Linked DNA regions of Mytilus edulis. The protein of the gene in region 3 binds, or shares a complex with, the protein of the main gene of each other region. Links are inferred from orthologs where the notes say so. Each region holds a gene or a part of one and is shown on either strand. Other genes may lie near its edges. The genes, in order: condensin complex subunit 2-like, condensin complex subunit 1-like, structural maintenance of chromosomes protein 4-like and condensin-2 complex subunit H2-like.

The links.
Region 1: structural maintenance of chromosomes protein 4-like (region 3) and condensin complex subunit 2-like share a complex: the UniProt entries of both Homo sapiens proteins name them as parts of the condensin complex. The link is inferred for Mytilus edulis from reciprocal best matches to the Homo sapiens genes SMC4 and NCAPH.
Region 2: structural maintenance of chromosomes protein 4-like (region 3) and condensin complex subunit 1-like share a complex: the UniProt entries of both Homo sapiens proteins name them as parts of the condensin complex. The link is inferred for Mytilus edulis from reciprocal best matches to the Homo sapiens genes SMC4 and NCAPD2.
Region 4: the proteins of structural maintenance of chromosomes protein 4-like (region 3) and condensin-2 complex subunit H2-like are in contact, whole or in part, in a cryo-EM structure (PDB 9F5W), measured with the Homo sapiens proteins. The link is inferred for Mytilus edulis from reciprocal best matches to the Homo sapiens genes SMC4 and NCAPH2. Residues at the interface, in NP_001002800.1 of Homo sapiens: Ile100, Leu101, Gly102, Pro103, Ile112, Gly113, Pro114, Ser117, Gln1151, Met1152, Leu1155, Phe1227, Lys1228, Ser1231, Ile1232, Phe1235, Tyr1236, Glu1239, Gln1240, Asn1253, Asn1254, Phe1256, Glu1257, Arg1261, Gly1264, Ile1265, Tyr1266, Lys1267, Thr1268, Tyr1269; in NP_689512.2 of Homo sapiens: Arg494, Ile495, Trp498, Glu499, Thr501, Val502, Leu505, Leu506, Gln509, Glu510, His512, Phe547, Cys550, Arg551, Met553, Leu554, Leu557, Gln558, Ala560, Asn561, Tyr563, Val565, Glu566, Ile567, Gln569, Leu573, Glu574, Ala576, Val577, Asp578.

Annotation. Positions count from the first base shown.
Region 1 is NC_092347.1:57,141,564-57,148,563, reverse strand, and holds the start of condensin complex subunit 2-like, read left to right. Parts: upstream 1-3,979; 5' UTR 3,980-4,090; intron 4,091-4,420; exon of another isoform or gene 4,421-4,583; intron 4,584-6,770; coding exon 6,771-7,000. UniProt on the Homo sapiens protein: Regulatory subunit of the condensin complex, a complex required for conversion of interphase chromatin into mitotic-like condense chromosomes.
Region 2 is NC_092356.1:7,065,749-7,073,667, reverse strand, and holds the start of condensin complex subunit 1-like, read right to left. Parts: upstream 3,024-7,919; 5' UTR 2,913-3,023; intron 1,164-2,912; 5' UTR 1,156-1,163; coding exon 1,038-1,155; intron 264-1,037; coding exon 188-263; intron 1-187. Other genes in the region: uncharacterized protein, read left to right, coding at 3,277-3,815, 7,436-7,624. UniProt on the Homo sapiens protein: Regulatory subunit of the condensin complex, a complex required for conversion of interphase chromatin into mitotic-like condense chromosomes.
Region 3 is NC_092346.1:88,614,371-88,622,258, reverse strand, and holds the start of structural maintenance of chromosomes protein 4-like, read right to left. Parts: upstream 3,004-7,888; 5' UTR 2,935-3,003; coding exon 2,862-2,934; intron 1-2,861. Other genes in the region: UDP-glucuronic acid decarboxylase 1-like, read left to right, coding at 6,092-6,173. UniProt on the Homo sapiens protein: Central component of the condensin complex, a complex required for conversion of interphase chromatin into mitotic-like condense chromosomes.
Region 4 is NC_092350.1:23,512,413-23,520,300, reverse strand, and holds the start of condensin-2 complex subunit H2-like, read right to left. Parts: upstream 3,010-7,888; 5' UTR 2,931-3,009; exon of another isoform or gene 2,915-2,930; intron 1-2,914. Other genes in the region: lipase maturation factor 2-like, read left to right, coding at 3,355-3,448, 4,219-4,269, 4,754-4,956. UniProt on the Homo sapiens protein: Regulatory subunit of the condensin-2 complex, a complex that seems to provide chromosomes with an additional level of organization and rigidity and in establishing mitotic chromosome architecture.

The DNA.
Region 1 (7,000 bases), on a different chromosome or scaffold from region 3:
AAAGAAAAAAATTATAATAGCCTTTCAAGACGTCATAATTATTTGGACTACGGAATACTCTGCTTTTGCCAGATAAAAATTTATTTTTCTTTGAAATTGAAACAAGTCTGACTGTCAAAAATAAATGTAAATGAAAAAATGGAATTTCTATCAGGAGGATTAAAAAATTAATAAATCCTTAAAATTTGGTGTTAAATCAAATTTAACTGGTGTACAATCACTGATTTTCCAATCTTCAATTTTATCCTGCTTACTCTTGTTAGCTTGTTGTTTTTAAAGATGGCGCTGCTAAATATATCAACCAATGAAATGAACGGTTTCGAAACGCAGGTAAAAATAAATTATGTACTGCTAAACTCGAAGTCGGACCCATATCGCGGAATATAAATAAATAAATGGAAATTCATTCCACAGAAGTAGATCTGATTGCGTTTTAACATGTTATTAGAAAAAAAAGATCACACAAGCAAAATGGACAATTGTTTTGGTACCTTATTGTAGAAGGTCACGCTTTCATAAAATGTTTATGACGTCTTTACACTTTTAATCAAAGGAACGTATACGGATGAATATTTTTTTGTGTGCACACATATTCAAGATAAAAGGCATGAATTTTACAAACACAATAAATTAAAACTGAGACTACTATAACACATATAGTTATAGTAGTCTCAGATTAAAATGACAAAGATATAGCACTAAACGACATAGTTTATGATTTACATTATTAAAAATTATCATTTTAAAAATTAAATTGTGAATATTGATATTTTGAGTAATTCAAATAGACTAAATTAATAATGAGTGAAATTTAAATTGACTACATGATTATTTTTTAGTTGTTATTGGCATTAAAATAACTTTCGGTAGCTTCGAATATTATTAGATCGATAATCTTATCTTTAGGGACGACATCAAAAGATCAATGTAAGATAAAAAAAAAAAAAAAAAAAAAAAAAAAAAAAAACTTAATTCAAATAGTTTGGGGGTTGAACTGCTGCAAGATTTGGTTATCCGACTTTGATTTTTACATATATCCATATGGGTCAATCAATTTTTCCCAAATTAAGTTTATAGGGGGGTCAGTGAAAAAACTATTTGAATTAAGTTTTTTATCCTTCATTGAACTTTTGATGTCGTCCCTTATTGCGTTCACATTATAAGTTGTGGTGTGCTCTGTATCGGCGATCATTTATATGATTTCAGTCACGGATAATTTGTTCTTATGTTATATCAGGGACAGTCTTTCAAGTGACTAATTTATAGAAATTCTCTAATTAAATCAATGTGCTCTTATATGAATCACTGTTTTGGTGGAGATGACCCCCACGTCGGAATGATGGCTTAATCCCGCAGCATTCAGTATATGAATGTCCCAAGTCAGGAGTTTGTGCTTGAATGCAGTGCTGTTATGACCCTTTGTATCACATTTGCTGTCCGTTTATTGTCATGCCGTTTGTACACAAACCAGGCTGTTGTGTTACCCACACCTCTGTTGTGCTATTTTCAATTATGTACTGAAACGAATTTCCTGTACAGAACCCTTACGGTCCTCCACCAGACTCAAATAGTATACCAGTGATAATTTATATTGTTCAGTGTTATATTGTATAATGTTATACATGTCCTTAGGTGGGTTTTTTTGTTGACTTGAAATTTGTCTTCTGGACTAAGTGTTTGCTTCTTCAAATAAAAAAATATGTATATTTGAATATTTGAATAATTACATTGAACTATTGTTGTGTGCACTTTTTTAATTCTTTTAAAATGCGTGTACTGTATTCGTTGTTAAATAGTGGTTTGAATTATGCCTGCCATCTTGTTTAAATGCCACAGCGCCATTGTAGTGCTTTTTCAAAGTTTAGATGTGATGTAGCACCATTAAAAATTGAAACTGGTCGATATGAAAGAAAAAATCTAGACGAAAGTGTCTGTTTTAACTGTAATATTTTAGAGGATGAAAAACATGTACTTTTAAATTGTCCCTTGTATGAAGATCTAAGACATGCTCTTTTTATTGATAAATTGTGTCATAATGATATGTTTTTAAACTTGTCTGATGAAGAAAAATTTATATATATGTTTAAAAATACCAATATTTGTAATATTGTTGCCAAAACCTGCAATAACATTTTAACAAGGAGAAACAGTATTTTATATCATTAACTACTGTATTTGTAGTATTTTATAAAATGAATAAGTATTATTTGTATTTTAATAGTCTCTCATAATTCTTTTAAGAATGGCACATACATGTATTTAATTGTTTTAACTATGTTTACTGTATAATTAATTTTATAATTGTATCTTGTTTTAATCATGTCGTATGTGGTGAGACTTTAATAAACTTTTGAATTCTAATTGTTTCTTGTTTCTGAAATTTGGTTTGTTGATGAAGTTTATAAGCTTGGCACACTGTTCTTTTGCTGTTCATTTGAGAATGGCCCTTAAAACAGCTCTCGTATGTGTGCAAGCGTTGGGTCAAAATGTTTTGCCTTATCCTGAATAATTTCATTTTCATATTTGCATATATCAGTTTAATGTTAGTTTGCTCCCGTTCTGAACTTAGACACTTATCTAGCAGTCCTTATTCTGAATATACAGGAATCATTTATTACAGGACATAGTTTAAGCAAGACGATAACTTGATTCAGAGCTTGTCTTTTGTACAACCAAAAATTAAAAAAAAATAAGATTTTTATCTTAACTGACTTATACAGTTCAGACATACTGTATCTATAGTGTTTAGATTGTAATGCCATTAATATACCCCCACTCCTTTTTATAGTATATCATTTGACAACAATTTGAAACTATATTCAAAGAGTGTTTTATCTATGACATCATTGAATCAATGTTTTTTTTTAATTCTTTTTGTTACATGTTTTTGTGTGTTTTTTTTATGATCGAGTCGACTTTTTTAACGTAGTTTTAAGATTTGTTCCAATGTGACTGCGATTTTCACACTACTACACTAGGTTAGGAAGGAGTGAGTTTCACAAACATGTTACCCCCGCCGCATTATTTATGTTACTGTTCGAAGCCACTTACAAGCAATTATTTACATTTCAAAATTTCTCTAGCTTTCAACACCTTTGCATCCGCGACTCGGCGATGGAAACAAATTCAGGGAAAATGGTGACATCTTGTTATAAAAGAACTCATCTTTTTCCAAAATGAAATTCGATTTTAAACTTTGTTAACGATTGAAAACCCAGTTTATCACTTCTGGATCAGATTACGCGGCGGATACGAGAGCTAGTGACATTACCCTTTGTGGTGATCTGACATTGTTCACATATTTGTCCTCTTGTCTTTTTGGATTACAGTTGTCTCATTGGAATCCGTACCATGCATATCATCTTATTCTATTTTATATTCAATCTTCATATCTAATTTAGGTTTCACCTACATTTTGAAGAAAATTTAAGCAGCATTGATAATAATATGCCTTATTTAAAGAGAGTGAAACCAATTTCTCGCTGCATTGAAGACCTGTTGGTGACCTTCTGCTGTTGTCTGCTCTATGGTCGGGTTGTTGTCTCTTTGACACATTCCCCATTTCCATTCTCAATTTTATTATATTGTGTTCTAATCTTACTTGTGGCTCTCATAAAGTTAAGTGCAAATTGCTATAGTACACTACACAAATGCTTCATTCAAAGTAAGAATTAACGATAAATAAATTATATAGTCACTTTTTTCTTTTAAAATCAATATGTAATCTTGAATTCGTGAATACTGTACATAATGCGTATTTTGTAATATATACAATTGTGGATGTTATTTATACTAACCTTTACTCTTTGTCTCAGGAATAAGGAGGTGTGCTTTTTCTAGTAACATTTTAATGGATACTTATAAGATACATATGTTGTTATTTTGCTACTTTCTTTTGGTTTGTTTGCTGAATTTGAAACGTTTAGACGATGAAAACTATTATTACGTGTTTCCATCTTACAGAGGCATACACGGAAATGCAAATAATGTCTTAGTGTGTCCCTATTTCTCGCAATTTCTCGTCCACAAACGAGACCATACGGATGGCGGAAACTTCAAAACAATAGATAAGTTCTAAACAACACAAAAGGTGACTTTATAGTGTAAATGACAAAACACATATACAAAATTACAAAACATTCCCAGTGAGTCTATGAAATTATCAAACTGTGTACCCTTTAAGATTGTTTAAATCAAATGAGAACGGGTTCACTTCAGTCTTCATAATTTTTTATGAATATCAAAATAAACCGATTTATCATGTTTATAGTGATTTCTAATAACAAATATGTAGTTTATACATTAAAGATATTTTTAGGAACGAATAATAGCATGACAATTAAGAAATATAAAAGAACAGAAACCGCTAAACACAAATTATGATAGTCAATATTTAAAATGTTTCAAATCTTTTGAAGTTGTCTCCCTTTTGATAGTTCTTCAGTTTATTATTGTCTGCACATGTACTGATGCAAAACAGAATTTTGTTGATTATTCGCAAGTTATATGTTGAACAATGGTTACTTAATACTAAATATGAGGAATGACAACACATTATTATTTTCAAATTGTTGGGTTGTTCAGTAAGTACATGTAAAGCATACATAAACTGATACAGGAGTAAAAAAGTGTTTTTCAATTTTGTATTATATTTAATGTTTTAAATAATTGTGAAATACTGTAAGCTTTAGATATGCCAGTTGTTTTTGTATTATGCATACAGTCAACACTATACAATCTATAATTGATAATCTACATGTACAAAAAATGTATATACAAATGTATTCATATTGATTTCTTTAATTCATCCTGTTGTTTTCATGCATGTAACAAGAGAATTTGGGCCTGGCACTGCAAATACCTGTCACAATAACAGGAAAGAATGAAATTGCCATGATGCAATAGGAGAAAATCCTTTATACTCTCTTAACAAATGTAATACTCACAGCAAATCATTCTCAATGTATTAAATTAATGGACATCTGTGTTACAACTTCAAATCCACAACTGGGAGAGGAAAATTAAACATTTTGAAGAAAGTTTTTCAGTTGTACAGTACATGTATATGTACATATTACACATGCTAGAAAATAAACAGGGATGCATTTTAAAAATTGTAAATTTATATTTAATGTTATTTGCAGTGATCTGGAAGGATTATTTCTCTTTGGGCCCAGGGCCCCTCAAAATTAAATTCAAGGGGCCATTTTAAAAAATAATGGGCCATGTTGTCAAATGAATGGGCCATTTGAATTGACTACAGTGAAAAAAGTAAAAAGTGTATATCTCAGCAAAGAGATGGTGGTACTTACCTTAATGATTTTAAATAATATTATAGATATTGTGCCTGTGATTTTGTTATTTCAATTCAACAAAGAATGTAAAATAATTTCTTCCAAACCAGATAATATTTAAGATATCCTTTATTTACAATGTTTCTACTGCTACTGTTGTCTTGTTCATGTGCATGAGTTTTTTTACATTAAATTTGGGTCTTCGTCGATACCATACTTATTCCCGACGTTCCGTATTAGAGGACGTATTTGGCATTTCCTCTGCACTTCTTGTATTATTATTACTTCATCACGATGACAACAATAACAGTAGAGAGTATCATTAATTGATAAAACAAAACAACAATTCGCTGAAGGCATGTTTACAAAATGTCAAAACAAGCCAAAGACCAAAAAGTGACAAGGACAGTTAGTCGCCTTTTATGGAGACAAAAACTATATTCATAAAAAGGCTTTGGGGTTTTTCAACGAAAAAGTAGCAAGCTGAACTAAATTAAAAGATAATAATTAGAGACAAATCTCGTCTGTACTAGCCAAATTTTACAAATTTAAGGTTGTAAAAAATCATATCATGAATGATGGTTAATTACGTTTTTTGGGTAATCAGTTACACCCATGGTTCTATTATTTCCATAGGAAAACACCCGAGACGTCCCAAAAATATATAGGTGCTCCTATCATTGGAGGAACATTACACAGTTGTGTACACACACATGGCGGCACGGTACACGATCGGAAATCCATTTGACGATATCAAAACGTATCGAAACGAAGTGAAAAATATCGTGCGCCACGTGGGCGCTTATATAAGTCACTCTATGCGCCATTTCTGGTCGATATGCGCTATAGGCGCAGGGCGCACGACCTTCCCGATCACTGTATTTGAACTTTTCAAAATTTGTAAATAAATGCATTTGTCAATTAGTTCCTGAACTTGGTTGCATGAATTCTACACATCTGAGGTTTGGCCTGACTTTTCCATTGTCACTAATTACAATTTCATATTTTAACTGGGGAATTCCTGTGTGTAGACTAACAAATAAAAAATATCCCCATTCAGCAATTAGAAAGCTTATTCCTATGTACATGTGACAATAAACAATCAAATAAACTTAATAGTGTATTAATGTCTTCTTTATCTTTGAATGCACAATTTTACAATTGGTGATGGACACTAATGGTTAAATAAACAATATTTAGCTGAGTTCCCCAAGCTGCATACATGTACATTGGTCATCAATGACAGAATGTAACTCTTTTCACTGGAAAAAAACCTTGTATATTTATTTTCCACTAAAATAAATTACTACAAGCTGCTTCTATGATCAAAATCAATTTCTTATTAAAAAAGCATATCACTTCAGATCATAAAATTGTCAACATAGCATTAAAGAAAAACTAGAGAACCAAAGACTGGTTAGTGTGACTTCTTTAATTTACACTGATTAACAATTGAACAATTTTTGCTTTCTATAGATGCCCAGCAGGTCAGATGTCCTCTCTCCTTTGACAACGCCAGCCATACAGAAACGGTCTGGTATTAGTAATACAGTTGGTAGTTTTGTGTCTCCATCAACTAGCAGACATAAAGGAATGGATAGTCCTGTGACTATGTATATGGAAGAATATGATGCTGGTACTGAGAAGCGTGATCGACGTCGCTCCAGAGCATTAGAATTGAAACAAACTGTTGGGAGTCCTGCTTC
Region 2 (7,919 bases), on a different chromosome or scaffold from region 3:
AAATGATAACGAAAATTGTGTGAAAAAATCTAGACCTTGAATAATAATACACTTTCAAATAAAATGCAATAATGAATTGTAATAAAAATATTTTTGAACTGAAATTGAAAGCTTTTAATGAAAACAATGACTTTCCCTAATTTTTTAACATTATTAAAAACGATGTTATAATGAATAGAATACAAACCATATAACACTGAACAGAGTATCAAACTTATGTAAAAGACATTTGCTGCCCTGGCTTCGAAAAGCAGTCTTCAATTCTGTAAAGACAAAAAACATCTTTTTATTTAGAGCACTTTGATCTTGTAAGTTATAGTAGAAGTTTAAGGAAAAATAAGAAAATTAAGATGATAACACAATATTGACTGTTGTACCCCTATTTTTGGCATTTTTACTCTTTGAGTATGTTTGTTTTGTTCATGCATCGTTGACAATGTAATGGAATTTGATGCGACTGTCATACAAGTGAGAGGTTAAGCTAGCTATAAAACCAGGTTCAATCCACCATTTTCTACATTAGAAAATGCCTGTACTAAGTCAGGAATATGACAGTTGTTATCCATTCGTTTGATGTGTTTGGACTTTTGATTTTGCCTTTTGATTTTTGATTTTCCTTTTTGAATTTTCCTCGGAGTTCAGTATTTTTGTGTTTTTACTTTTTATAAATAAAGATTGTAAAAATTTTGAATAGAGATTAAAATACTGCTGATTTCTACCTGTATTTTATTTATATCAGTATAAAATAAGAAACATGGTATGATTGTCCAATAAGGCAACAATCCTCAAGAGTTCAAATCATTGATGTGGCTTATTTGATTGAAAGCAATATTGAAAACACAATTAACAGAAAAGAATGAATTGGGCTTTTTTATTACATATATTGTTTAATCTTATATTTGTTCTGCTTTTCTCAACTTTTTCTTATTATCAAAATGTACAATAACTACAGATAAATAAATAAAAGATGTGGAAAGATGGATAACAGCTGCATCAACATGTTTCAATTTTCATCAACAAAATATTTTTCAATTTACCTTGTAGAGCACCTGGTATCTCTCTCAGTGTGGCAATCTCACTGACAACAAAGTGATCTATACCTGTTCTGTTTAACAAGTCATCACGAGAAGAGGGAATTACAAATTCAAAACTCATCTTTAAAACTGAAAATAAAGAATAAGAGATTATTAAACAGTATTCATTTCTTCAATCATTTATCAATAGAAATAGACTTCATAACAACATTTCAGATTTGTCTAGTGATTGCACTTATTTACAATTTTAATTCTCATTGTGCTCATTTCGCAAATGTAGTTTTTGGACCGTTCTTTTTTAACCAAGTAGAAAAATGGGCTTACAAACATTAAAACATCACAGCATGAGTATGGGGTTAAGTCATTATCAGAATAGTAATGAGGCTGGTCAGAGATGATATTTTTGTCCATACAGTGCCAGCCAATCAAGTTGTCATTTTCATTCCCGATAATTAATTAACCACTTCATTTTTTGTTAATTCTGCAGAAAATACTTGCTTCAGTTTCTAGACTAGTTCATTAGTTGATTTCTTTTTCAATAGTACATTCCCTTTTTATTTTCAGATCTCTAAACTAACTTATTCATTTACTTTAAATTTCTAATCTGAATATACAATGTAAGAGACAGAAACAACTTGTTTTCAGGTCGATCTGGCCCCAAGTCGATCCAGCCCCAATAAAAAATTATATCTATAAGGAATAAAAGGAAGATATTTATTGTAATTCATAAATGTTTATGAATTTTATAATAATGTTAAAGCTGTACGGGTATAATTACAATAAAAAACATAAAAGAATTTATTACAATCAACATTAATTGTATTGTTTCCAATTGACTGTGATCCTAGCAAGTGTCATCCTGTGTAATAAGGAAGTTACATTAACAACAACACAAGCCGATCCCTAAGCTGATACACACTTAATTTTTGTTTGAGTTCTAAAAACTTCTAAAATTGATAAATGTTGTTTGATTTGCCGAATCCTTTCTATAAAAGAGGAGACAGAAATATAACATGTATTTAATTTTGTGTAAGGGCCTCAATGAAAATTAAGCAGTCTATTGAGTTACAGACACAATGACACTGATTTTTGTATCGATTCAAAATAATGTCGTCAATTATGGATACTTGTAGATTTTTAAAATTCCATTTATACTGATTTCAATTTGACACCAAATCCTCCAAAGGCAGTATAGATTAGTATTCATTATTATATTATGAGGCCGGATCGACGTGGGAAGGATCAACTTGGAGCTGGATTAGTTTGTAGACAGAACGACAGAATACCGAACAACTTTATCTTCTTCTGATTGTATAACCCCCACTTTTCCTGACTTTAGGCTAGCCCAACCTTGTATGGTGTTGTCAAATTATACACCTTATCGCTAAAACAGGATAGTCAACCAAATGACGGTGGTCACTTAGTGGTAGTAGAAGTAATTCCAGCTGACCCGGCCGCTTTAACTATTGACGTAAAAATGTATACAACAATCACTTTTTCGTTGTAGCGTCAGATATTTTGTTTTATGATGTCAGACAAATACTCATAATTTCAAATAGCGATAAGATGTATTGTGAACAGAACAGGGAGTTTCTTCAGTCAGTACTGCGGGAACTGGTACAGCAACAAGGGATCTGAATGAATACATGACACAAGGGTTTGAAGGATCGTACTGCCTCTTACGAAAGATATGATATCTAGAAAGTTTCAACATTTAGTAAACTTTCAATAACTCAACCTTGCAATGTTCAAGGAAACCCCCCTTTTTATGTTTCAACAAAATTATGAGTTCACGCCTTCTTGCATTTCCTTTATAACTGTTCTCATCTATAAATCAATGATAAGTATAATAGCATAACTTGTAATGTAGACTCTTACTTCTTTTAACTTTCTAAGCGTCAATACTATACTGATCATTCCACAATGTTTACAAACTTTGAAAATTTCAACTTTCCGCCTTTCGCAGCGTGAGATATCGACCAATCAAATTGAAGCTTTATATTTACATCTTTTAGAAAAAAGAAAAATAAAGACCAAAGGAAAATAGAATTATAATTTCGATTAGGTTTATCAAATTTCTTCCAAATTTTGAACCTATAAATGATTTGATGAAAACGTAAAATTTAAATAGACCAATCAATTTGAAAATCTATTTAAAGTTCCGACGACCGGAAGCAATCATTAATCTCCAAACCGAAAGTGGCCGGCATGAGAAAATCTTTTAACCCCGAGATGGACAAAAATGAATAATTTTAAGCCCTTTTATCTTATCCTTTTATTGTTATCGTCTGTGATATTGTTATATTTAAGTTTTAAAAGTATTGTTTTACTCACAGTTTTAGCAGTTGCTGTCATATGGGGCTCGAATGTCGTAAACGGCTCCTGGAAAAGTACAAATACTCAAAAATTAACAGCATTTAAATTGAAAAAGACGAAACCATTCTCACATGAAAAGAAAACTAAAATAAAATTAAGCAACAAGAAGAACAGTTACGATTCATCATTCAAACAGTTTTTTAATGCAAACTGTGAAGCAGAAATGCCATCCACAGTCAAACTGACACCAGGCCCAAATCGACAAAAAACATCAATTAACAGAAGTCAGACTTTTTCATCTCCGTCTCCATATCTCCGGACGTCATTGTTTAACAGTTCATGCTCTTTTCAAGATCGCTCGGATGGCAACTTGTCCATTTCATCAACAAATGGTCATTCAAGATCTCCAGCACCATTTTTACCATCGATCAAAAGAGCACTCGGGGTATCAGAATACTCACCAAGGTAATTGATAGTATGAGACAGGTGCTGCCATAAAAGAGAATTTTTCTAGTATTATCAAACAGTTGCCAATAAAGGCACTTCGAGATCAAACAAACCATTTTAACGGTGCGGCCGAACTGCAATGTCATATTACAATTACATATTTCAATTACCCCATGTCTGTATGATATGGGCCATGGGATAACACTGCCTCGGTTAACTGGATATTTTTTCCCAACTTTATTAGATATGATAATGATAAAAAACACTTACGTTCCGTCATTGTGGTATTAGTCACATTTTGATATAAAAAGAAAAAATTCCCAATTTTTATTTTTTTACATTTACAACAGACATGACCATGATGACAGATTATATATTTCTAGACATATTTATCTATCTTCTAATTTCAATTATTAACTTGTGTGATGATGTTCTGTAACTGCAAAAGGCTTGTCTATCTTTAACCAATTTATAGAAGTTAATACATGTACAATCAAATGACTATATGCATATATGTCTAGTCCAGGGATGGGCATGATACTGACAAAAGTAATCGATTACTTGAAGGATTTTTGTGTATTCGATTAATAATCAATTGCAATTACATTACTTTTCGATTACTGTCAATTACATGCTACAAAATAACAATAAAATAAGTAAGTTAAACATAACTATGTAGTTCAACGTATGTATAGTGGAAATTTAGAACTTTATGAAAACAGCATTTAAAGCATTGTTTTTAAATTTTAAGTTAACAGTTGTTTTCTTGATGGAAGCTCTTACTGAGGATGAGAAATATTTAAAAATTCTTGATTTTTGGTTTTCAACATGAGTGAGTAGTGATAAATTTCTTGCACTGACATGGCCTGGTTTCGGTCACTTCTTTAAATTTTTTTTTTTTTCTCCATGTTTTGCAAATTTTTGCTGTCATACTGACGTAAGTTAGGTATTTTGTATTTACTCATTTTTAACACGTATATTTGAATATAGTTCATTTCAATGTTGGAAGTTTCCTCTGAAAAAAATATATAAAAAAGGAGAATAATTAACTAGTTCAGCTAATTTTAAAGATGTAATTTTATAATATTTATAATTAATACATGCATGAAATAATCGGGTTTTTGGATAGCCTTCCTAAATACAGATTATAAAACTGCCAATGGGATACATTTTATAACTGGGGCAATATAATGTAAATCTCCTCTTAATTAGACATAACTGAAATCAAAACAAAGTTGGCATCTCATTGATTAGAAATCCTTGATCATCTGATTGGTAAAGACAATAAGTTAGTTGAAATTTTATTATGCTATATTCAAAATTATAAACAATATATATTTTTTAGTGTCAAAATGGGATACAGGTATCCTGCACAAAATTTCAATGCATAGTTATCGGTTCATTGTCAAAAGGATTTTGTGAACTTTCTAATTTTTTAAATCATAATATTATGACGAATCAACTGTTTATCTATTCTAGCTAAAATTCCACCTCTTATTTAAAACTAAGCTTCAATGTCAATGCAGTACAGAACTTAACCCTTTCAACGCTACACAAAAAAATAGAAAAATGGCTGCTGCTGCTGCATTTTTTTTGTGTTCATTCATTAGAACAGTATATTCCTTTTCAGACTGCTGTATCTTTTTTATTATAAGAGATACAGAAAAAGTTATTGCATGAAAAATGCTCAGGAGAGTATGAACTGTAATGTTAGGCAGTTATTTAAGTAAAATTTTTATCAGGTTACCTGCATTTTCAGGTAATTAACAGGTAAAAGGTGTAATTTGTTACATTTGTGTTGAATTTTGAATAAAAACTACTTTTCGTCTTCATCTATTTTGTTTTTTTATCTGCCATATAATAAAGAAGACACCAATTGCTCGATTCCGTAGCGTATTGCACCATACACAACGTATTATGTAATCATGGCACAAATCAGTGGCTCCGTCCTCAAAATTTTCAGTCAACCTCCGTTTTCCCCCCTTTTTCTATGTCTCGTAATGATCGATCAAATCATATTTCCCACACGAATTGAATGTAATAAACACATTGAGATAACAAGAAACTTTTAACTAATCCTCGTCATCAGTTTCGCCATAGAAATGCTGAAATATTTCCATATTTACAGCTTCGTTTCCGATTTCCGCCATTTGCATTTGTCAAAATATTTGTTTTTATTTTCCTCCAATTTTCCTTCTACTGCATGATTTTACAATAAAAATTGCCGGGATTTCAAGCGCAAATGAGACCTTGCATATCTTCAATTCATACAAGGAAAAATAAGAGAGGACCCGAATGAAAACCGAATGGTTTCGAGTCCTTATGAAAAATCCGTTGTCATCGCGGCATATGCCGCGAATAGCAGTGGCGGACGGCGTATGTCATCGCGGCATATGCCGTGTATAGCGTTGAAAGGGTTAACACAAGACTCATTTCTTATTTTTATCTATTTTCTTATTTCAAAATAAAAGGTCTTTAAATTATTGGCAAGCATTGAAGACAGTATAGTCAATTGTTTCATAGCTGATTATATACAGTAAAATTTGGTAGGAGATCTGGTTGATCAAAATGTAGCTATAGACAAAAGATACAAATTAGGCATTTGATAAACTCTGAAGTTTTTTTTAATAATTTCTATTTTATCTGTACTATAAAGTGATGAAGACATACTTATTTTCATTTAAAAAAGGATATATTTCATTAAACTATTTTACTAAAGTAATCAATGATTACATCATAATAATTGCTGTAATCGATTAAATTAAGATTATATGTAATCGAAATGTCTTCGATTACAGATTACTGTCGATTACTGAAAAAAATGTAATCAATTACAATCGATTAGGATTACAGATTACAATTACCCCATCCTGGGTCCAGTCCACCTTCTGTATTTACATCTCAAAAGTGTGGGCAGACAAAGACCCAATAATGTCTGATTAAAAAGAAATCTAGTAAAATGATGCTCTAAATAAATTCTTTATAGGTTTAAGTCTTTCTGTAAATTGGCAATTTTACATTGAAACTACAAAAAAGTTGAAAATAATGTCATATACATGTACAATGTATGCAAAATGCCAAGTAAAAGATTAGACTGACGAAATCTTAATCAATGTCAACCCACATGACTGGCATGTGACTTATTTTCAAGAACTGTTGGGTTGCCATGAAAAATGTTTTTGAAAATATTGTTTATATGATCAGATTTTAAATTTTTTCCCTAGTTTGTGCATTCTTGTAATCTTCAACATATTGAAGTTAAAGAGTATTACATGTATGTAGATGTATATGTAGAGAGTGCTGAATGTTACGTTAAACACAAACAATTAATCAGTAATATTTTTCAGGAAAAGACAAGTGGTCATCCATCTTATGGGTTTAGAAAATAAATTTCTTTATAACCATGCTTACTGTATACTACTGTAAATTCAGAATTTATTGCGTGTATTTATTATAGTGATTTTGTCATTTTAGACTAGAACACAATTTTAATTTTTGCGATTTAATCATATAAATTTTTATTAAATGTGAGTTTAAATTATTGGGATTGTAACCCAGTCGCTTTTTGTTTTGCATTATTAAAAACATCTCAATAATTTCAGCATTTACAGTAATTAGTTTTAAATGTTTATTTTCAGACAGGAAAATTCAGTTGTTCCTCCATCTTACCAAAACTATCCTTCACAAGCATCACCAGGATTTGTTCCGGCAGTTAGACTTATAAAGCGAGAAAGGTCATATTTAGGTCACCAGAAATCACCATCAGTAAGGAGTTCCAATGTAGTAAGGATTGCTCCACCAGAGCCACATAAATTGTCAAGTCCAAGGTAGGATATTATAAGAATGAAATTAGGTCATGTAGGTAGTGTGTAATAATCAGGTTGGCCTTCATTTTTTTTTTAGTTTCATATATCCTTAGAATAAACAAGAGATTATAAACAAACGCTTATAACACTATTTTTAATTAAAGAATTGAAAGTAAAGTTTAAATTAGTCAAAACTTAAATGTTGATTCACATTAAAGGGACAAACACACACATATACCATGTATACATGTATCACAAAATAGTAGCCGATTGGAGCTGTTATACATGTATGATATCCTTGCAACATATAACACCC
Region 3 (7,888 bases):
CCACTAATTCAAGGCAAACAATATCACTGGTTCAGGGTATGGTAATTTACGAAAAAAGTAATCTCACTTCGTACCCCGAAAATTTAACCACATATGTGAAAATGTCACAGCTTCGAAACGAGCTATCATACATATCCAAGTTTACGATATGGACTGAGCTACAGGAAAAAACGTTATCATTACTGCCTATGTAAAAACAATTAAAGATATTCGTGATCTCCAGATGTCAATAATAAATTATGTATATGAACATGTAGATGTAGAGGAAAATTTCATCTTCTCACTGACTGTTGGACTTTCCTTAAAAAAATATGAGAAATAAGCAATAAGAAAACAAACTTGCTGACTAGGATTTCCGTGTAAACAAGCTTAGGATCTAAATCAAGGTAATCAGTCAGTCAGCAAGAAAAAGCAGCTGGCTCACTAAGAATTCATAAGTGATTTGCCAGATGGAGATACCCAAGTTACCATGGTTAATAATATATCAATGTGCTAAAAATTACTCATCATTTGACAGCAATAGGTAGACTCGTACATACTAAACAGGGCCTTGTCAAATAATTAAGGAGGCTTTGAATTAGGTTATTTCAGTGTTCTCCCCAGGATTTTTTAAGGCACAAAATTAAAGGGCGTGTAACCCCTTTTATAGTGAACTTTTTGTGATCTGAATCAATCAGTCATAAATCATAACATGCAATATTGCTTTGTGTTGTGTGTTTAATAATGCAGAGTATTATTGAATTTATACAAGAATATACTATATGAAATAAATTGATTTTAAACACAAAAGTTATTTATATTCAGTCAATTAAAGAAGTCAAAATATAAATATTCATCTCTGTACTCTCTGCTACTTCTAGGGATATTGTTTCAAGATAGTGTTATTTTGTTGGACAGTCTGTTCCTCAATGTTGTCTTAATCCTCTTCAGGGTTGAAAACCCCCTCTCATAATAACTTTTGCTTATACCCCCTGAACATTTCTAAGCCATGAAAACTCAGTCAGTCACTTGTCACTGAAACCAGAAACATGGTGCTTGCTGTTATCACTTGCTAAAACTTAGCTCAGTTGGGATTAGGAGAAGCATTTATAACATCTGCTTATACTGACAGCTGAGTGTAGAGGGAGGTGTATTCCCCTTTTCATAAGAAGTCATTGATCTGAAAAAAACTTCTACTTCCATCATGTCTTTTGCTTTGATTTCACCCTTTGTTGTTTGCAGAGAACATGTTCATTCAGAATTAATAAAATCGAATATGGTTAAGATACCGTAATTGGTATACAACTTTAAAAAAAAAATATATTTTAATGAACAGCTGACAAGTTTCGTGGTTTCCGTAGTTTGACATTTATTTACGCTTCCGTGTGCATTATTGTTATAATAAAACCTATCTTTGGCAGGTAGATATAAACCAAACTTCGTTAAAGTTAAAACCATTGGAATTATTTACTAGTGACATTATACAGAAGCCGCGGCGATTCCGTACCCGTGTTGATTGTTATTTCTTTAATTTCTGCACTGAAGTTTTTAATTTTCTTCTGAAAATATCTATCTTCTTGATGATCATTTACACTATTAGTCTATTACATGATAACATAGTCCGATAAGGCTGAGATAAGCCTGGCTCAGGTAAAACTATATTATCAGATATTGCGTAACACTGACCGTAATACAGTGTATTGAGAGTGCAAATAAGAACTTGGAAAATTTAAATTGGTTAAAAATGGGTTTTCAGGATTGGGCTTCCCTTCAGTGTTTTACACAGTTCAGAGGCCTAAAACTTTCAAAAAAAGTGTAAACCCTCAGACATACAACTTATCATAAATGATTGTAATTATCTTTGAAATATGCATACAAATGACTACATTTTGTACTTCCAGTTGCAGGTCAAATAGAAGTAAAAAATCAGTAAGTTCTTGGATTTTTTTTGTGCAATGACTTTCTTTAGACTGCTGTACCCAGATTAGTTTTACTCTAATCCAAAAAATGTTGTTTTTTATGGGTTCACTTGGGTCCACTCTACATGCGACTACAGCTGGAAACATATATATCACCATCCCTCTATACTATTTCAACACCTGATGACAAACTTGGAGCTTCTTTGTATCATGAATGCCAGTTTTGATCTTGGAGTATAATGTTCTTCGTGCAAGAGCCTAAGTAGTGATATCCATTAATTGATCTTTATATTAGCAAACATTTTTTTTTGGTGCTTACCAGAAACATATCTATAGGGGTTTCATTGGGGTCTAACCGTGATGCGGGACAGATTTGTTTTAAGTGAAGTCCTGTAGGACACGGGAAATTACATGCACCATTATGGCAACGTGAAGCAGGATACAGGATTCTCACTAAAAAATTAGCGGGATCTGGGTTGAGACCCCTCCCTCCCCAAATACATGTACACCTTATTGCTCTTTGTCGGACTTGACACAGGTTACTGAGGTACCTAAAAAAAAATTGACGTCATGAAATAATCTGACACCACAATGGACAAGTGATTGTTGTATGACATCTATTGTCCACGCAGGACAGATTCTTGGATCAGCTGGGAATAGCATTAAGGTGTATAATACTCCATCTATACTGTTCTATATCTCAGCCTTGGGCGAACGAACCTGGATTCTGCATGGACGAAAATGGTCTTTAATTTTAAGAATCCCTGCTGTTTTATTTTTATACCAAAAGAAGCAAGATGGTTATGATATGCTTTATAATGTATGACAGCAGCTGGTGAAAAGACATGAACTAGAACTTCTATAAATTTTTGATGACATTTGATGATTTGTGATGATTTGAAAAATAATCTGGTTTTGAAGGTTGATGTGTTTTCTCCTTTTGTGTTTTAAGACGTGAACTACCTGTTTCAAGATTAAGCGTTCTTTGAGGAGATGTTTCCGCGTTGGAGGTCGCAACTTCCATTTCTTCTGACATTTTTAAAATTTTGTTGTTGTTGTAAATCTGAAAATGGCGCCCAAAACAAATTTTGTAAGGCAGACAGGCATGGGTTGCACTAATGACAGGATGATTGCCCGGATAGTGACAGGACGGTTGACCGGACGACATATAAATAGTCATAACTTTTTTGTTATCCGATAGATTTGTTTAATATTTGTAAACCTGAAAGATATTAAACTATATTTTATGAATATAAAAAAAAAGAGGAAAAATAATTATTTTTGAGCAAAAAAAGTTGACCGGACGGTATTCACACTCGCCAATATACGCTAAATATATATTCAACTGGTTGACGACAAGTGTTAATATCTCTTTTGTTTTACAATATTTGTCCATGAAACTCAGGAATCTGTGAGATTTATAAATATATTATACGAAAATATAAACTTGATTGCAAAAAAACGTGTTTTTCTCAAAAAAAAGTTGACCGGACGGTATTCACCCTCGCCGATATACGCTATATATATATTGAAATGGTCGACGACAAGTGTTAATATCTCTTTTGTTTTACAATATTTGTCCATGAAACTCAGGAACCTGTGAGATTGAATAATATATTACACGAAAATATAAACTTTAGGGTAAAAAAGAAAACAAATCTGCAAAAAAAGTTGACCGGACGGTATTCACCCTCGCCGATGTACGCGTTGATTATATTGAACTGAGCGACAAAAAATGTAAATATTTTTTTTGTAAACAATATTTTTTCATAAAACTGAGATATGTGCGAGATAAATAAATATATGATATGAAAATATAAACTCTATGATAAAAAAAATATTTTTCTTCAAAAAAAAGTTGACCGGACAGCTAACATTCGCCGATATATGTTAATAATAATAAATTGATTGACATAAGTGTTAATATTATTTTTTTTACCATATCTGTCCCTGAAATTTATGAACATTGGAAATGAATAAATATATTATACGAAAAATTAAACTATATATTTAAATAATAAAAAAAAAATTAAAAAAATTGACCGGACGGATTTTACATTCAATCGATATATGCCTTAATATATTGAACTGATCGACACAAGACTAAAATATCTCTTCTTTGGTTATAATATTGTTAATAGCATATTATTAAATATCTACTATTTCTGTTTGATGTAATACATCTGTATGCATATAGACAATAGACCCACTGTCCATTTTGATATTTTGTCTACTGGTAAGTTGTACTAATATGATGGCTATACAACTGTCTTTAAAAAGACATGCCTTTAAATAAAGCAATATATAGTAGCACTAATATCAATCTGTTTACTTTTGTATTTATAAATATATGTTTGACAACTGTCTTTAAAAAGACATGCTTTTGAATAAAGCAATATAGATAGTAACACAACTATCAATCTATCTATATCAATAGTTCAATAATGAATATATATTGAAAATTGTCTTTAAAAAGACATGCAAAAAGCAAAATATAGTAGAAATATAATTTGTGTGATCTGAACTGGTTGAAAGTCAGAGCATAAATGACTGAACAATTGAATAGTTATTATTAGGTGAGTTAAATGTTAATCTGAAATCCTGAACTTCATAAAATTTCTTCTTTAATTGGATACTAATTACCAACTGATTATAAGGTAATTCAATTAAATGTATTTGATGTCTCAGGTGTGAAAACTTTAATGACATGTTATTTGGCTTGATTGGTGATTACAACAAGTGTCAAAATTAGATTAATTTGATTAAATATCATTACTTCTAATATGCATTGGTGAACTCGCTCACATAAACATTTTGGGCTCATTGTTTTTACTTTAAAGTTTATTTTTCTTGTAAAATATTTATCTAATCTCACAAATTATTTCATTTCATGGACAGATATATTATAAAAATGAAGAGATATTAAAACTTGTGTTGATCAGTTCAATATATTTAAATAATAATATCGGCGAATGTTAATTCCCTCAGATCAACTTTTTTTTTTAAGAACAACATTTAACATATTTGATATAAGGTTTATATTTTCATATCAAGTACTTATTGATCTCTCAGATTTCATAAATTTGATAAAATAAAAGAGATATAAACACTTGGGTCTACCAACTTATATTAAGGCATATAACGGCGAATGTTTGTTCCGTCCGGTCATCTTTTTTTGAAGAAAAACATTTTTATTTACTATAAAGTTTATATTTTCATATCAAGTATTTATTGATCTCGTAGATTTGTTAGTTTCGTGTAAAAATATTGTAAAACAAATAAGATATTGACACTTATTTGTATCAGTTCAATATAATTAACGCGTACATCGGCGAATGTGAACACCGTCCGGTCAACTTTTTTTGGAGACAAACTTTTTTTTTCACTATAAAGTTTATATTGTCGTATCCAATATTTATTATTCTCACAGATTCCTGAATTTCATGATAAAATATTGTAAAACAAAAGAGATATCAACACTTGTCGTCGACCAGTTGAATATATATATAGCGTATATCGGCGAGGGTGAATACCGTCCGGTCAACTTTTTTTGCAGATTTGTTTTCTTTTTTACCCTAAAGTTTATATTTTCGTGTAATATATTATTCAATCTCACAGGTTCCCGAGTTTCATGGACAAATATTGTAAAACAAAAGAGATATTAACACTTGTCGTCGACCATTTCAATATATATATAGCGTATATCGGCGAGGGTGAATACCGTCCGGTCAACTTTTTTTTGAGAAAAACACGTTTTTTTGCAATCAAGTTTATATTTTCGTATAATATATTTATAAATCTCACAGATTCCTGAGTTTCATGGACAAATATTGTAAAACAAAAGAGATATTAACACTTGTCGTCAACCAGTTGAATATATATTTAGCGTATATTGGCAAGTGTGAATACCGTCCGGTCAACTTTTTTTGCTCAAAAATAATTATTTTTCCTCTTTTTTTTTTATATTCATAAAATATAGTTTAATATCTTTCAGGTTTACAAATATTAAACAAATCTATCGGATAACAAAAAAGTTATGACTATATATATGTCGTCCGGTCAACCGTCCTGTCACTATCCGGGCAATCGTCCTGTCATTAGTGGTTCCCGACAGGCATTGGTCAAAATGCTAGCTTCCGGTTTAATCTTGATTATCTTCCTTGTTAGAACACCGAGAGAGGAGAGAGACGAATATGAGATTTAGATATCCATTTAGAAATTGTACAGTAAAAGACAAGTTCATGGCAATTACACTGTTTGGTCTCATCTTGATAGGTAATTTACATATAACAGTCTTATATGATTTTCGTCCCAACTTTAATTTCAACCTTTTAAAAATATTCTTTTCAGATGCAAGATGTTTAGGACCATAGATGTAATATCCATCTTCATCTTGGTATTACATCTATGTGCGGACATACTGCAACTGGCACAACTTGAACTATTTTCGGACATACAAAATATATTATACAATGTATAACTTCTCCTTGACGGGAAGATAGATAGATATTATATTCTATTCTCTGTTTTCACAATTATGTACATTTTTTTGTAAATCAAGTCCAAAAGACAAAGGGAAACTTGACTATTGTTTAACCAAGGCCAAAGGTAGTCCGATCCACGGCCCTAGCTTGTCTGGTAAAACAGCTGTTGGACGTCAGAGTAATCTCAGACTAAGCCAAAGGTTATTAGAACAGTAGAAAGTCTTTTGAATCACACCAGATGCATACTGATGTACCCAGACCGGAGTTTAAACTAGAATGGGTACTTTGGGGGCCTTGGTTGGTCAAAGTTGTCCCCCTACTTTGACCTGGAGATCAATCTTCTGATATCTCTCTGGTTTGTCTGTTTCCACCGAGTGACCCGGTTGTTCTCTCCGAGTACTTCGGCTTCCTCCCCCATAATAATAGACTTCCTGGTGTCCTAGCACTCCCTTTGTGTTGTGTGGGGATTGATTGTCCTTGTAAAAATAATTGTCGTATAAATATACGTTAGTGACATATCTCCATTAATCCCGTTAGGGAGTGTACATGGATGCCACTGTACCCTCGCAGCTTTCGAGGGGTTCTTCGGATATCGGAGGCATTTACCTGTACATACATACATACTGAGGTCCGTTAGTAAGGGTACAGTAGTAATGCCCTTAGCCGTTAGGTGTCAAACCATCATTTTCTGCTACTGTTAGCTTCAAATAGGTTAAAATTTTACAATGATTCCTCAAAATATCCTTGTCCAGATTTCTCATCAGTCTCAAATAATTATCGTTACTGTTAATTTTGGAAAAAATTTACCATTATTTGTCATGATGATGCCCCCATTTAGACCTACCATTATAATAACAAATCAATTTTCTATGCCCTATAATGGGCATTTATATGTTTTCTGGTCTGTGTCTCTGTCCCGCTTCAGGTTAAAGTTTTTGGTCATTGTAAAAGTAGTTTTTGATGAAGTTAAAGTCCAATAAACTTGAAACTTAGTTCACATGTTCCCTATGATATGATCTTTTTCTAGTTTTAATGTCAAATTAGAGTTTTTACCCTATTTTCCGGGTCCTCTGAACATTTTTTTTTTCGTATAATATAAATTTTATTTATAAAGTATTGTGATAAGACATGTACATGTAAAAACTGTATACGGTTATTATAACATGTATAACTTTTAAATGTATTTATATTTATTATTATTTTCAAAATGTTCATTTAATCTCAAGTGTTAAACAAGCTGAAAAATAAAATGAATACTAATGAAAATTATGAGACCCACAAAATGGAAGATTAATTTCTGTCATAGTTAAATCAATAAGTAATCAGAAAATTATGAATTCTGAAATTGAAAAAAATATAATATTATCATTTTTTAAATGAACACAAGTATTAATTATGCTTTTGTCAAGAAACTGTACATAATAAATACTACAATGTTTTAACCACATTGGAATAAATACTTTAAGTATGGATGATATGTCCTATAGACAATGTGGTGGTACAGCC
Region 4 (7,888 bases), on a different chromosome or scaffold from region 3:
GTAAATGCAACAACCTGAATGGAAACGCCATTTTACGATCTTTCAAGAACCATAACTCCTGAACGGTAAAAGTCAAAATCGTCATTATTGAACTTGACCTCTATTTTGTCATCAGTAACAACATATTAAAATTTCAAAAGCTTTGGTTGAATGGTTCATGAGAAAATGCACGGACACGACGGGAAAAACCATTTTTCAATCTTTCAAGAACCATAACTCCTGAACGGTAAAAGTCAAAATCGTCATTATTGAACTTGACCTCCATTTTGTCATCAGTAACAGCATATTAAAATTTCGGAAGCTTTGGTAGAACAGTTCATGCATAAATGCACGGACACGACTGGAAACTCCATTTTTCAATCTTTCAAGAACCATAACTCCTGAACGGTAAAAGTCAAATTCGTCATTATTGAACTTGACCTCCATTCTTTCATTAGTAACAACATATTAAAATTTGGGAAGCTTTGGTAGAACAGTTCATGCGTAAATGCACGGACAACTCCATTTTTCAATCTTTCAAGAACCATAACTCCTGAACGGTAAAAGTCAAAATCGCCATTATTGAACTTGACCTTCATTTAGTTGTCAGTAACAACATATTAAAATTTTAAAAGCTTTGGTTGAACGGTTCATGAGTTAATGCACGGACAACATTTGATTGCCGCCCGCCCGCCCGACTGCCCGACCGCCCGCCCGCCCGCCGTACATCCCCAAATCAATAACCGACATTTTTGTCACAAAAATCCGGTTAAAAATGAAAACTCAGACAAAAATAGAGAATGTTTTTTAAGCTTTATTGCTTAAACTGATCTTTCAAACTAGAACTTAATCCAGAAGAAAGTTAAAACATTGCTTTAACTGTACCCTAAGTTGAATATATATATCCAAATTAAATTAATTAAAGCTGTAAACCATGATCACAAATTGAATGCTATGTTACATTTCATTGTTATTTATAGACAGTAAGAATTTAATTTTGGAAATCATTTTGATTAACTGCTAAGATTTATTCATGAAAAATTAATATTTTCTTGGGGTAAAACTGATAATACTTTAATAATCTACATCTGCCACGGTATTTTCTATCCAATAGACAAGGAACATTAGCTACAAATTGGTCATTGTACTTTCAAATTATATACATTTAACAGACTTAAGAGGTATTGAGTGAAAGTAACGTATATCATGTATATAAAAAATTATATTCATCATTAAACACCATTTAAATGCATTTGAATAAGTTGGTACGAGTTAGCAGTGGTACGAGTTTGCATTGGTACAAGGTTTTTTTCAGTGGTACGAGTTGACGTTGGTACGAGTTTACAATGGTACGGGATAACTATAATTCCACTATAATAACCCATTCATTCATTTAGTTGGGTAGGTAGGGTAACTGGAACCACACATATATTTTTATTTGGCCATATATAATCAGTGATCGGGAAGGTCGTGCGCCCTGCGCCTATCGACCAGAAATGGCGCATAGAGTGACTTATGTAAGCCCCCATGTGGCGCACAATATTTTTCACTTCGTTTAGATATGTTTAGATATCGTCAAATGGATTTCCGATCGTGTTCCGTGCCGCCATGTGTGTGTACACAACTGTGTAATGTTCCTCCAATGATAGGAGCACCTATATATTTTTGGGACGTCTCGGTGTTTTCCTAGGCCCGTTTTCCTATGGAAATAATAGAACCATGGGGTGTAACTGATTACCCAAAAAAGTAATTAACCATCATTCATGATATGATTTTTTACAACCTTAAATTTGTAAAATTTGGCTAGTACAGACGAGATTTGTCTCTAATTATTATCTTTTAACTTAGTTCAGCTTGCTACTTTTTCGTTGAAAAACCCCAAAGTCTTTTTATGAATATAGTTTTTGTCTCCATAAAAGGCGACTAACTGTCCTTGTCACTTTTTGGTCTTTGGCTTGTTTTGACATTTTGTAAACATGCCTTCAGCGAATTGTTGTTTTGTTTTATCAATTAATGATACTCTCTACTATTATTGTTGTCATCGTGAAGAAGTAATAATAATACAAGAAGTGCAGAGGAAATGCCAAATACGTCCTCTAATACGGAACGTCAGGAATAAGTATGGTATCGACGAAGACCCAAATTTAGACTAGTGATTAATTTGTACTACTTAAATAGGTGATTATAAAAGAAGACAACTCTTACTTCCAACCTTAATGGCCATAATGTTACTTGAATCAGTGATTAGAAAATCACTCATTTAAGTACATTTAAGTCCCCTGACTGGTTTAACCTCGCCACATTCTGTATGTAAGTGCCTGTCCCAAGTCAGGAGCCTGTTATTCAGTAGTTGTTGTTTTTTGTACATAAATAAAGCTGTTTGTTTTCTCGTATGAATTGTATTACATTTGTGAGTGGGGCAAGACCTTTTTCAGGACGTGGACGTTGGGATCGGGTGTTTTTAAGTTTGGGATTTCTGGATTGATCCTTTCGGGATCTAGGAATTCTTTTTTTGAATTTCGGGATGTCAAGATTTAAATTTCTTTAAATTCGGGACCTCAGGTTTTCATATTTTAAAGCCCAGGATTTTGGGATCAGGAACCCTCCTCATTTGTTATTTGCCTTTTATAAATTATAGCTTAGCTGACTGTGGTATGGGCTTTGTTCATTGTTGAAGGCTGTGCGGCGACATTTAGTTGTAAATTTCTGTGTCATTTGGTATCTTGTGGAGAGTTGTCTCATTTGCAATCATACCACATCTTCTTTTTTATTTCATATATGTGATATAGTAATACTCAGTAAATTAGATTTAATTTGACTTTCAAACTGTGGCTTCTCTTCCTTCCATGAACTAGAGAGGACGGGTTTTGGTGTGAATAACTTGAGCCTTCTTGCTCGTAATGAACAACTGATGAAAGCTTTCATAAACACCTACTTTTTTTACTATTTACCTGGTAGTTTTTATATTTATATTTTGATTTTGGATATCCCGCTTCCGCTAATACATAAAATGGTAAATATTGAAGGAACAATTTGATTGGATATAACGGGGCACCTTGCAATATTTTATCCAATCAAATATTGTTTAACATCAAAAACGAAAGTAGAATATTTTAATCCGCCAATTACAAAATGAAAGTACAATTATGACAATTTGTTTTAGCATTAAAATTTATAGAATCATAGCTAAACCAAGAAATTAATTGAATCTTTTGTAGTGTGAATTATTGTAATTATGATCAGATAAACGATTGATGAAGTAGTTGACATCTATTGAACAGGGAACTATTTTTCAGTGCAACTGTGTCCGAAAGTGTTGTTAGGTCCGTTGCAGCGGCTGTTGTTGTGATTTGGTTATTAATATTATACATTAAGATGTCATCTTACAAAGTAACGAAAAATGCCTTTTTATGGGGCATGGCAGCAATATATTTGCTTGCATTTTCATCACTATATGTACAAATTCCTGGTAACTATCCGTTTGTTTACTCTTATTCAGATTTTAACATTTATAACCATAAAGTGATTTCCAATAGCTATACATAAATAACCCATTACTTATCTTTTAAATCTATTTATTTCAATTTGATTTATAAAAGTCCATCTTGAGTTCTATGTTCAGATTCTGTTGACCAATTCAAGCACATCATTTTAAAGACATTTATAGAAATGAAACTGAAAGAGTTATAAATATAAAAAAAACTTATTGAAACAGTATAACTGTGTTAAATATAGTTGGAAAGCAAGATTTATATTATGAATAACTAGGTAAATTTTAATCAGTTTCTAAACCGAAATCTAAAGCATTTTATACTTACAGAACAATGACCTTGAGCAATGTTCACCATCCTAATGAATACCTACTCTGTAATATCTTATAAATACTGAATGGTGACACATACAATAAATGATTGACTTCATTACTCCCTACATCTGTCATAAACTATTGAATCCAAACATCCCCCTGCTCAAATAATATTTACAACTTTTCTGACTTCTGATCAATTGAAAGTCTATATATCAAATATTTTTGTTTATATGCCATGTATGTTACTTAGTTGAGTCTGAGTACCATTTACTTTTCTAATATTGGAAAGAAATTATACTCTTTTCTAGGTGTTTACCTAAAGTTGTAGTTACTTTTTGCTTTACTCTGAAATAATTGAAATAAATGTTATAAATTTTGATTTTGATTCCAGAAATATTAAAACCTTTTTAACCAAATTTCTTTCATTCAAGGTTTATATGGTGACAATGGAATATTGCCAGCTAGATTAGCGGTTGGGAAAGGTAATTAAGTTCTATTTTTAAGATTTTTAAATTAGACTAAGGTTGTAGCATACATGTACTATTTATTACCAAACTATTGTAAAAGTACAACAGGATTCTTCTTCCATGATTGAAGTACAATTCTATTCATATGATACCAGGCCTGTCTCAGTTTGTTAACTGTTCATGCACTACTGCGATTCTTAAATTAAATTCTCTAATTAAAGGGTAAAGAATGAATTGAAAGTTGTATATATGTCACTGTATGTCATTGAGACAGCACCCCCTCCCCCCCCCCCCCCCCCAAAAAAAAAAAAAAAACAAAACCAAACACCAACAAACAAAACATGCATTTGTCCCCAATAGAAAAAAGTCATATCATACATCTAAACCTGAGTCAAGACATTGTGAATTATTAACACTCTACCAACACTACTTATGTGATTGCCAGTTCATTTAGTTCCTCTATCAAATCTGACCATTATTAACAATCTTATATTTTTAGCTGCAAAGTCATTTGCTGATTTGCTAGATGGACATCCAACTTTGCTGAGATTAATGCCAATGATTGGATTAGATACCGAGACTGGCCTTGATCTCCTTTGTATACTGGGTATACTGATCTCCTTTGCAGCACTTCTTTTCCAGGCAGCTAGAGATGTTTTTGCCTTTACTCTTTTGTGGATGTTATATTTGTCTATATACCAGGTAGGTTTACTTAGGATATCCCTTGATGTTTTATCGGTAATTTGTATATTTTCCTTTGATGTGTACTCACTGATAATGTCAGTATCAGTGGACTGGCCGTGATATAAAAATTATTGGGTTAGTACGCAATTGACATGCGCGAATACAACGCGTAAGGATCTACTTTCCCCTTTCATTCACAAAATTGCGCATGATTTTTTTCGCAGAAACGCACGAGATTTTTGGCGATGAAATACTTTACATTGTTTGAAACTTTCACAAAGTTAGTTTAGCCTTTTTGAACAATTGATGTCAAAATGTAAACAAAATATGCATGAAAAAGCCGATAGACTTTTAAAAAAAATGTGTTATCTATAATTGATATATTAAGTACATGACTAACATTATTATATCGTCCATGATGTTCCAATCCGAGTTTTTATGCATACAATACCAATACATAGCCGGGTGCTGTTCCAAGTAGTTTTCTTTTTCTGTTTTTTGAGAAGTATTTGTTTTACCTGTTCAGTCACTATAAAGTGTTGCAATTCATATTTAAACGCAACACATAAATAGTGACCAAAAAGGTACCGCTATCGCATGAGAGAAGCTAGAAAATAATGGTCAATTTAAAGACAGATATTCATAGAACAAAGAACAAAAAAGTGAACTTATTCATTTGCGGATCTACATGTAGGATAAATTTTAAAAAGGGGGGTAACCGGGGTCACCAAACTATACATGTATAAAGGTCTGCTTTGACCTGAATTGTAGCCTTTATAAGCTAAGAGGTGACTGACACGGGTCGCCTTCCCCTAAATTCACATAAGAAATTAAAGGTAACCACAGTGACTGTAAACTCAAATTTCATTTTTCTGGTCCGTGTTGAAAATAGATGAACAAGACTTTGACAAAAGCAAGAATTATATTAAGCTAAAAGTTTAGTGACGTCTATTAAAATGTTTGAAATAATTATGAAGAAGGCAAGAAATGAGCTTGTTCAGATAATTTACAAATAACTTTAACAGTCACTCAGCTCCTAAAATGTCTCCTCACATAGTCCAAATAATCATGACGAAAAAATATAATAAACTTTCAAGATGTCATAATTATTTGGACTACTCCTCAGTGCTTCCTTAAAATTATTTGAAATCAATGTGATCGTTTTCATGATGAACACTGAGCGAATAATGACAAGATAAATGTAATTTTATCCACTAAACTAAGTAAAATATAATTATAATAACTTGTCGTTGAACTTAAAAATGATGATCGATGAACAATTAATCTGCTGATTCATATCGTATCATTCTAATGTTCTGACTTACTATGCTCGAGGGGGGTCATGGATGCATGGATAGGACCTTTATCGGGACTCCGGGATCAGGTGTTTTTAAGCTCGTGATTTCGGGATGTCGGGATTTACTTTAATTTACTTTATATTCGGGACCTCGTGATTTCGTGTTTTTAAACGGGCCGGGATTTCGGGATCAGGAACCCTCCTATCCCCCTCTTTGTTGATGCTTTGTGAAAAATACAGAAATTTGACTTACCGGTATGCTACCATTATATTTGCCATCGTTAGAGTCATGTCCAAAGCAAAATATTAATGAAACACATGCAATAATTCCTTCAAATCTTTATACTTTGTGCAAGAGAACGCCATGTTTAATGTTTACTGCACTGTGACAAAATTTCAAATGACGTAATGCAGCCTGTGACGTCAAGTGTGATTCGCCGTGATCCGACGCGAAAAAGAAGTTTGTTTGTTATTTTCTCTATTATTGTAGTGATTTTTAATTTTTTTTTAAATTACCGATAAACAGAATAAAGGACTTTTTGTTTTTGATACTGACTTTATCACAAAAAATATCAGGCTCGCCCGAATTTGTCTATATACCAGGTAAGTGTACTTAGGATATCCCTTGATGTTATATTTGTCTATATACCAGATAGGTGTACTTAGGATATCCCTTGATGTTATATTTGTCTATATACCAGGTAGGTGTACTTAGGATATCCCTTGATGTTATATTTGTCTATATACCAGGTAGGTGTACTTTGGATATCCCTTGATGTTATATTTGTCTATATACCAGGTAGGTGTACTTTGGATATCCCTTGATGTACACATTATGTCTGTCTTCATGTGTACAATAAAAGTGTGTAATGAAGATTATTCTGTTGTTGATCTTATATCTGTAAACATAAGGGACGACGTCAAAAGTTCAATGTAGGATAAAAAACTTAATTCACATAGTTTTTTCACTGACACCCCCCCCCCCCCCCCCTCTTAACTTAATTTGGGAAAAATTGATTTACCTTTATGGATATATGTAAAATCAATTTTGGATTAACAAAACTAGCAGAAATGTTGACCCCCCACCCCCAAACTATTTGATTTAAGTTTTTTATCCTACATCGATCTTTTGATGTCGTCCCTAACAGGTACACTTCAAGTTGTCATGAAATTTGCCCTGTTGTGGACATTACATCTTTACCAAGTAGGTGTTATGGTGATTATTTTGTTGGGAGTTTGCTCTTGGTTGTTTGTTAACAAAGATTAAAAAAAAAGGATTGTTTTTTTGCAGATGATATTCTGACTACATACCAGGAAGGTTTCATTAAGATAATTCTGTTCTTGATGTTACATGTTTATCTGTATCTGTCTGTAGTTGTTATAAGGACTTCTCTGTTGATGACTCCACAGTAGATACAATGTACTGTGTTTGTACCATACTTAATAATCAGATATATTTAACTTCAGTTGAATTTTAAATTACTATATTCTTATAAACTGGATGAGATAAGTATTGTTTAAACTTTTGAAAAGTGAGATATTGTAAATGTACATGTACATGACTATTTAGTTATTATCTTACTTGATAATTTGAAAATTAACCTATAGTAAAGAATAAGATATTTTATTCACCAAATTTGGGCTGCAGGAGTG